Xenopus tropicalis: one gene and its partner. The main gene of each other region encodes a partner of the protein of the gene in region 2 in a complex. Links are inferred from orthologs where the notes say so. Each region holds a gene or a part of one and is shown on either strand. Other genes may lie near its edges.

Region 1 (4,379 bases), on a different chromosome or scaffold from region 2:
CAAGGCTGCAGGCTGAGTTATACAGGGAACTCTGAGTATCACTCATGTATTATAAGGGATAATGTACCCCCTACTGTAAATGATAAGGATATTAGCAGTCACTGAGGGGTTCTGTGCCCATATAAAGGCACAAGGCTGCAGGCTGAGTTATACAGGGAACTCTGAGTATCACTCATGTATTATAAGGGATAATGTACCCCCTACTGTAAATGATAAGGATATTAGCAGTCACTGAGGGGTTCTGTGCCCATATAAAGGCACAAGGCTGCAGGCTGAGTTATACAGGGAACTCTGAGTATCACTCATGTATTATAAGGGATAATGTACCCCCTGCTGTCAGTGAGCTGCAGACTTGGGAAGGGAGGGCGGGAAGCTTGGGTGCCTGCAGGTTCTTTCCCCTACATAGAGGGTAGCGGTGATGTGTGGGTCGATCCGACCGCTCCCAACCTGAACCGGCTTCTTCCCTGTGTTTATATACCTGCACCCACCCATCATGATGTTAGAAAAGGGGCGGAGCACGGTGGCCACGCACCTCATGGTTGCCAGGTTGGTGGTTTTCCCTCCAAATTGGGCTACTAATTTAAAGCCCTGGCTATATAAGGTACAAACCCGCCAAGGTACAGTTTTGGGCTATTTTTTGGAGCCTTTGGCAAGTTTGTAGTTTGGAAACTAGCCAAAGTTTTTCCACCCTAGTGTGCCTGTTCCACTGGATGCTGGGTAATGTAGTTTGTATCTAACAATTAGCCTACAGCTAGGATTAATATAAAACTACAATACCCAGCATGCAATTGGACAGTATAGACAGAGGCTCCCATTTCTATTCTATTCAGGCTCAACCTGTCTGCCCTACACCCTGCCCCCTGCTCTATAGGGTATGTGATTGTACTGTTACTTTCTACTGGGATGTGGGGCAGTTCTACCCCCTGCTCTATAGGGTATGTGATTGTACTGTTACTTTCTACTGGGATGTGGGGCAGTTCTACCCCCTGCTCTATAGGGTATGTGATTGTACTGTTACTTTCTACTGGGATGTGGGCAGTTCTACCCCCTGCTCTATAGGGTATGTGATTGTACTGTTACTTTCTACTGGGATGTGGGGCAGTTCAACCCCCTGCTCCCTGCTCTATAGGGTATGTGATTGTACCGTTACTTTCTACTGGGATGTGGGGCAGTTCTACCCCCTGCTCTATAGGGTATGTGATTGTACTGTTACTTTCTACTGGGATGTGGGGCAGTTCTACCCCTGCTCTATAGGGTATGTGATTGTACTGTTACTTTCTACTGGGATGTGGGGCAGTTCTACCCCCTGCTCTATAGGGTATGTGATTGTACTGTTACTTTCTACTGGGATGTGGGGCAGTTCTACCCCCTGCTCTATAGGGTATGTGATTGTACTGTTACTTTCTACTGGGATGTGGGGCAGTTCAACCCCCTGCTCTATAGGGTATGTGATTGTACTGTTACTTTCTACTGGGATGTGGGGCAGTTCAACCCCCTGCTCCCTGCTCTATAGGGTATGTGATTGTACTGTTACTTTCTACTGGGATGTGGGGCAGTTCTACCCCCTGCTCTATAGGGTATGTGATTGTACTGTTACTTTCTACTGGGATGTGGGGCAGTTCTACCCCCTGCTCTATAGGGTATGTGATTGTACTGTTACTTTCTACTGGGATGTGGGGCAGTTCTACCCCCTGCTCTATAGGGTATGTGATTGTACTGTTACTTTCTACTGGGATGTGGGGCAGTTCTACCCCCTGCTCTATGGGGTATGTGATTGTACTGTTACTTTCTACTGGGATGTGGGGCAGTTCAACCCCCTGCTCCATACTCTATAGGGTATGTGATTGTACTGTTACTTTCTACTGGGATGTGGGGCAGTTCTACACCCTGCTCTATAGGGTATGTGATTGTACTGTTACTTTCTACTGGGATGTGGGGCAGTTCTACCCCCTGCTCTATAGGGTATGTGATTGTACCGTTACTTTCTACTGGGATGTGGGGCAGTTCTACCCCCTGCCCCCTGCTCTATAGGGTATGTGATTGTACTGTTACTTTCTACTGGGATGTGGGGCAGTTCTACCCCCTGCCCCCTGCTCTATAGGGTATGTGATTGTACTGTTACTTTCTACTGGGATGTGGGGCAGTTCTACCCCCTGCTCCCTGCTCTATAGGGTATGTGATTGTACTGTTACTTTCTACTGGGATGTGGGGCAGTTCTACCCCCTGCTCCCTGCTCTATAGGGTATGTGACTGTACTGTTACTTTCTACTGGGATGTGGGGCAGTTCTGCAGTTGATCCCATATATATATCATCTCTGGGGTTAATGCAACATTCTGAATCCATTTCTGTAGTGACTTCCCAGCGGGACTGGGCACAGAGGGCAGGGAATTAGCAAGGTATGGAGCCAGCCCACACATCACTATCGGGGGTAATGTTTAGGAGCGGGTAGGGAAAAACTTGACTAGAGAGCAGGGATTTATAAGTGAGTGGGCTGGGGGAGGAGTCAGGGCAAGGGGGTGTGGTTAGGCTGGATAAATCAGTTCTATGCTTTTTCCAAGGGGGTCCCACACAGGAGCTGCACCAGGATTGGCTGAGCAGCCTTAACCTCGCCCCCCACCCTTCCAATTCTCATGCAGCTTTAAACAGACTAAAACTTCCCTGGCAAACGCGCAGCACTACGGGAAGCAGCAGGGGACAGAACATGCCGGCACCCCGGCTCCCTTCCCAAGCCCACAGCACCGAGCCCGGCTACTGTAACTAAGCGCAGCCCCGCCCAACACTCCCGCTTGCCCTGACACGGTACCGACTGGCTACTTACACCTCCCGCAACGCTGTTCCCCGCAAGCTCCCGGCCTCCTGTCTCCCAGCAAATCCCGTTTCCTCACGCGAGATTTGCGGCGTCATGCCTGTACGTAAGGGCTGTGACGCTTCACGTAGAAACCTGAGGGCGGGGCTCGGTGCGTCTATAAAATGCCTTGTACCTTGGCCGGCTTGTGTAGTGTATGTAGGTATGCCCAGGCGGTTTGTCAGAGAACTGCAGGAGGCTCCGCCTCCTTAATTGATATAAATCCCGCCCACTGGTACCTGAGAATGGAGGCGCCTGGTTATCATTATACCAATGCATTTAGCAGAGCCGCCTCCTGTGAAACGCACTGCCTGCTCCCCCTCCATATCCCCCATTTCTCACCATCTTGCTGCCTGTTCTGTACGCGGTGACTCCTTATGCTGCGGCCTGCCCCCCAGGCCGCCGTCCCCGGCCTCTCGTAGCTGAGTGTCCGGAGCCGCTTCCTCCTCCTCCCCCGGCCTCACCCATAAGGGCGGAGGGAAGTACACCTGCCGCACATGCACACTGAGGCGGTTGAGGCAATGCCAGCTTTCCCTCCCGGTATCCATGGTAACGGGCGCAGACATCAGGTGACCCCGGGGCAGGTTTGGGCGGGCTCTTACCTGCGCTACGTGTATGTCCCTGAGCTGTCAGGCAGAGGGAGGAGCTTGGGGCATCTCACAGGAAGTGCCTGGCTGGGAAGTCAGAGATAATGCTGAGGGGAAATACATTCACTGCTGTCATTTTGCTCCTTATTTAATTTTTAATAATCACTTGCTCTTGGCCGCCATTAGCAATCACGGGGCCCCTCCCATCAGTACAAAGGACACACAGACATTAAAAGTATCAGGGGCCCTCAATTACCCCTATAGACATTTCCCCCATACACAGTGGCCCCCCATACACAGTACCCCCGATTGCCCCCTTACACAGTGCCCCCATACACAGTACCCCCAATTTCCTCAATACACTGCCCCCATACACAGTACCCCCAATTTCCTCAATACACAGTGCCCCGATTGCCCCCTTACACAGTACCTCCAATTTCCCCAATACACAGTGCCCCCCATACACAGTACCCCCAATTTCCCCAATACACAGTGCCCCCCATACACAGTACCTCCAATTTCCCCAATACACAGTGCCCCCCATACACAGTACCCCCAATTGCCCCAATACACAGTGCCCCCCATACACAGTACCCCCAATTGCCCCAATACACAGTGCCCCCCATACACAGTACCTCCAATTTCCCCAATACACAGTGCCCCCATACACAGTACCCCCAATTGCCCCAATACACAGTGCCCCCATACACAGTACCTCCAATTTCCCCAATACACAGTGCCCCCATACACAGTACCCCCAATTGCCCCAATACACAGTGCCCCCCATACACAGTACCCCCAATTGCCCCAATACACAGTGCCACCCATACACAGTACCCCCAATTGCCCCAATACACAGTGCCCCCCATACACAGTACCCCATATTGCCCCAATACACAGTGCCACCCATACACAGTACCTCCAATTTCCCCAATACACAGTGCCC
Region 2 (4,376 bases):
CTTATAACAACAACTGTTATTACTGCAGTCAACATGCTTCCAATGTCAGCATCTATTAAGATACTATTATTAGCATCAATAACAATATGCTACCTTAAAAACAAAAGTTAAAAACATTTTGTCTCTTACTGTGACACAGCTTTGTCAATGCTATACATATATGTTCGATCTACAAATAAAACTTGTTTGTGGTGCGTAAAACCAAGATTTTATTTTTCTCTTATAACCAAGTCTGGGCTCTTCGCATATGTCATGCAGCCTCCATATCAACCTTACTGCTCAGGAAATGTAACCAGCAAAATAGTCCTCTCTTACTGGACCTTTATGCTACTGTCATAAACCTGCTATTTATCAATAGATATTTCTATAATTTAATTTGAGCCCTCATTTATTAGCTAATGCAGCCTAGAATGTATTTGGTTTGTGAGCAAACTCAGTGCCTCATATGGTCCAAAAGGAGGAACTCTGGTACTTAAACTTACAATACTGTATCCTGGGATGATACACGGAAAAAAATAAATGTATTAAAAAAAGCTTTATTTACAGGAAAACTTAAATTTTTTTTTTTATAATAGAGATCTGCAATGTTCTGGGGTATTGTTATTCAGTTTTTAAAAAGCAAATATTCCACTTTATTTGGAATGTGCAGGTCAGTAGCAGTGCTCTAAATTATAGTTGAATGTACATGCCAGGACTAACTTGCACTTGCTCAGTAAGGGCAAAAGGAGAACAAAACTAAAAAGGAGAACAACAAAAGGCGCTTGCGCATAAACAATGAAAATGACTTCTAAAATGTATATGTAAATAAAACTGTGAAGCATGCACTATGGAGGTCTCTAATGCACATTTCTGGAAGCAGCAGGCAACTGTACAAAAAATACATGCACCTATAACTAGCAGGCAGTATAAATCAGCTGCTTTTACTAGGAAACCAATTTTATTGAGTCAGCAAAGTGATTATTTAAATTAAAAAAAAAAAGTGTTGACACTTTGAAGATATTTTAATTTGTATCAGCGGTTTCCTAGGAGAAAATCATGTTACTAGAAAGGGAATGTAATTTTGTCCTCTTTGTTAACCAACATTCTACAAGACATCATAATGTAATACACAACATGTATTTCAACTAACCTACGTGTTGCTACTGTATTCAAAATGTAATTATCTATGAAAGTTACAAAATTATCTTACACAGTAATTACTTAGGTACCGTGTTCCTCTAAAGGTTAGGTAGTCCGGCAAAATATGTTACTTGGAAATAACAAAGCACATGTACAGCATGCATACTGTCATATTTAAAGCCTATAATAAATGAATGAGATACGGTGTGTAATACAGGTATGGGGCCCATTATCCAGAATGCTTGGGACCTGGGGGTTTTCTGGATAAGGAATCTTTCTGTAATTTGGATCATTATACTTTGTCTACTAAAAAATAATTTTTTTTTAGTAGAAAAAACTTTTTTTTTTTACCTTCAATAAGGATTATTATGTCTTGGTATCTGTATATGGTACTGTTTTATTATTACAGAGAAAAATGAAATCCTTTTTAAAAATGAATGGTTTCATTAAAATAGGGTTGATGGCCTTCATATAATCTGGAGCTGTTTGGGTTTCCTGATAATGGATCTCATACCTGTATTATGTGTCAACACTATATAGATCCTGTATGCTTTTATACTTTTCCATAGTGGATTACAGGCTCCTGACATTGCACACACACACACACACACGTATATAAAAGATGAGGGGAGTACTAAGATATAGGCATAAAGAATGAGGTGTACAGAAAAACTTGACATACATGGGCATAAAGATATGGTAAACAGACCCTTCAATTATTGGGTGGAACATGAGTGTAATGGCCGCCAATGAATGTTCCCTCTAATTCGTTCTTGGCTATGTGCTTAAAATAATTCTTTTGGGCGCACATTTTAACTGTGTAATCCACAATTTGTTGTGTGCACTGGCCTCAAAATTCACACACAAAGCTAACATTGCCCCAGCTGGTGTACAATATCAATGTAAGCCTATGAAAAATGTCACCTTCCCCAAGGGCTGTGGGGCCAATACATTTCCAGTTATTCCATGTATACCAACAGACGCAATACACACAGACTACATAAGAACTTATATATAAGCAGACAGAGTGACAGCAAATGAAACCTCAAGTGTCCCTTATAGTGGACAGAAATCACAACACATATGAATTAACCCACACAGACTTTTAGCTGTCACAACCCTATCTCACAAGAAGGCTATCCAGATGCACCTCAGAAAATCCCTAAATGCCCCTGCCATACATATAGTCACTTGTGCAACAAGTCTAATGCCAAAGTCTTTCACGGACACCCTTCCACCAGATCACTGAAGCTACATTAATATTTACTGACACAGACAACACACGCGTTATCAGGCTTTCGTTCTGTCAGTGTCCCTTCACCATTGCATACAGCCTCTGGTCAGTGATCTTCCACTTTCTTCCTCACGCCCCACTATTCACAAATTAAGTGTCACTGATGCCCTCAGAGAGATTCTAGTCACACTATTGCTGTCAGTCCCCTCCAACCTGTCACTAGCCTCCACCTTAATCACTGTCATTAGCCAAGGGTCTTTCCTCTCACCGCCCGGTACTGCTGCTCTCTCCACGGCTCCGGGACAAACCAAAATGGCGGCTGCTGGGCCGCAGCACCGCGGCTGTGCGGAAGGATCCCGTAGAGTCACCGGCTTCAAGACCAGCGGTCAACACTCCGGATCTTTATAAAAACGCCAAACGTGTTCCAAACGACAGCCTGTATACCGATCGGCTTCGGAACTCAAGAAGCCACCCAGGGCCGGAACTCTTTGCTCTACGCGGAGGGACACTGGCAAGTTGACAGGGCAGCCAGTGATGACGTCAACTCTGTGCCCCGTCACTACCAGACCCGGAAGGAAGAGAGGGCGGTGCCCCTATTGTCACGTGCCACCTGACCCAGGTAACTATGGGCGGGGATTATGTCAACCAGAGTTCTGAGCTTGTCATTGAGCTTCACTTCCTGTGATTGTGCCACAGCCTGTTATACTGACCTTTCTAGTTAGGGAGCATTAGCCAAAGCCGTTCCTGTAGCGCTGCCTAATTCTCACATGGAACTGGAGCCAGCCAGTCGCTCTGCTAGTTGCATATGTGGGCAGACGGGGAACCCTGGCGGCAGTATTATCGTATTTCCGTTCCTAATATATATTGGAAGTCCTTCCCAAGGGTTGGAGACCTGGCCAGTAAACTTGATTGCAAATAAAGCTAAAAACATAGAAAGGATGTAATTATTTTTTTTTTTACAACATTAGAGGTCCAACATTTTGCATTTCAACTAGTAGGGCTTATTTAATAATATCTGCACTAAAATGAATAAACTTTGGTTTTTCAATAGCCTACTAGTCTACTACCAATACAGATATGAAAGAAAATACATATTTTAATGCTGTAGATAACTTCCCTGGTGCAATTTAGTCCCTGCAGTATGCTTGAAAGTTTGTGAATCCTTTAAAATGTTCTATATTTTTATATAAATGTGACCTAAAACATCATCACCTTTTCAATCAAGTCCTAAAAGTAGAACTGAAAGTAGAAATGAAGCAAAAAGTATTATATTTGGTCATGTATTTATTGAAAAAAATGATCTAATAACATATCTGCGAGTGGCAAAAGCAAGCGAATCATGCTCTCAGTGTTTGGTGTGACCCTCTGGTGCAGCAATAACTGCAACTAAATGTTTGCGGTAACTGTTGATGAGTCCTGTTGACTTTTAGCCATGGAATTTTAGCCCCTTCCTCCATACAGAACAGCTTCAGCTCTTGGATGTTGGTGGGTTCCCTCACATAACAATTGGATTAAAGTCAGGACTTTGGCATTGCTTTTCCAGAATATTTACTTTATTCTCCTTTAACCATTCTTTGGTAGAACGACTATTTAGGATCATTGTCTTGCTGCATGACCCACTGTCTTCTGAGATCAGTTCACAGACAGATGTCTTGACATTTTCCTTTAACACTCTCTGCAATAGTTCAGAATTCAGTGTTCCATCAATGATGGCAAGCTGTCCAGGCCCAGATACAGTAAAACAGGTTCAAACCAGAACACCCCCACCATCATGTTTCACTGATGGAATAAGCTTCTAATGCTGGAATGCAGTGTTTTTTTCTCCAAATGTAAAATGCCAACAATTTCTTTTTTATCTTCATCCATCACCAAAACATTCTTCCAGTATTTTTCTAGTTTGTCCACATGATCTTTAGCAAACTGTAGATGGTCAGCAATATTTTTGGGGGAGAGAGCAGTGGCTTTCTCCTTGCTGCCCTGCCATACACACCATTGCTGTTCAGTGTTCTTCTGATAGTGGACT

What was found.
Region 1: the proteins of ap1g1 (region 2) and ap1s1 are in contact, whole or in part, in a crystal structure (PDB 1W63), measured with the Mus musculus proteins. The link is inferred for Xenopus tropicalis from reciprocal best matches to the Homo sapiens genes AP1G1 and AP1S1. Residues at the interface, in NP_001288140.1 of Mus musculus: Leu7, Arg8, Ile11, Arg12, Arg15, Leu54, Tyr55, His57, Met58, Gly60, Tyr61, Lys78, Phe79, Thr80, Arg83, Ile84, Leu87, Met90, Leu91, Asp94, Glu95, Thr115, Phe117, Leu123, Cys124, Gly127, Cys128, Tyr152, Lys155, Lys156; in NP_031483.1 of Mus musculus: Met1, Leu14, Arg15, Leu16, Gln17, Lys18, Trp19, Leu21, Ala22, Thr23, Asp25, Arg28, Lys29, Arg42, Lys45, Met46, Cys47, Ser48, Phe49, Glu51, Lys56, Gln74, Asp75, Asn76, Glu77, Leu78, Ile79, Leu81, Glu82, Leu83.

What each region holds. Positions count from the first base shown.
Region 1 is NC_030679.2:143,417,518-143,421,896, reverse strand, and holds the start of ap1s1 (AP-1 complex subunit sigma-1A), read right to left. Parts: upstream 2,861-4,379; 5' UTR 2,820-2,860; intron 1-2,819. UniProt on the Homo sapiens protein: Subunit of clathrin-associated adaptor protein complex 1 that plays a role in protein sorting in the late-Golgi/trans-Golgi network (TGN) and/or endosomes.
Region 2 is NC_030680.2:59,329,774-59,334,149, reverse strand, and holds the start of ap1g1 (AP-1 complex subunit gamma-1), read right to left. Parts: upstream 2,935-4,376; 5' UTR 2,599-2,934; coding exon 2,584-2,598; intron 1-2,583. UniProt on the Homo sapiens protein: Subunit of clathrin-associated adaptor protein complex 1 that plays a role in protein sorting in the late-Golgi/trans-Golgi network (TGN) and/or endosomes.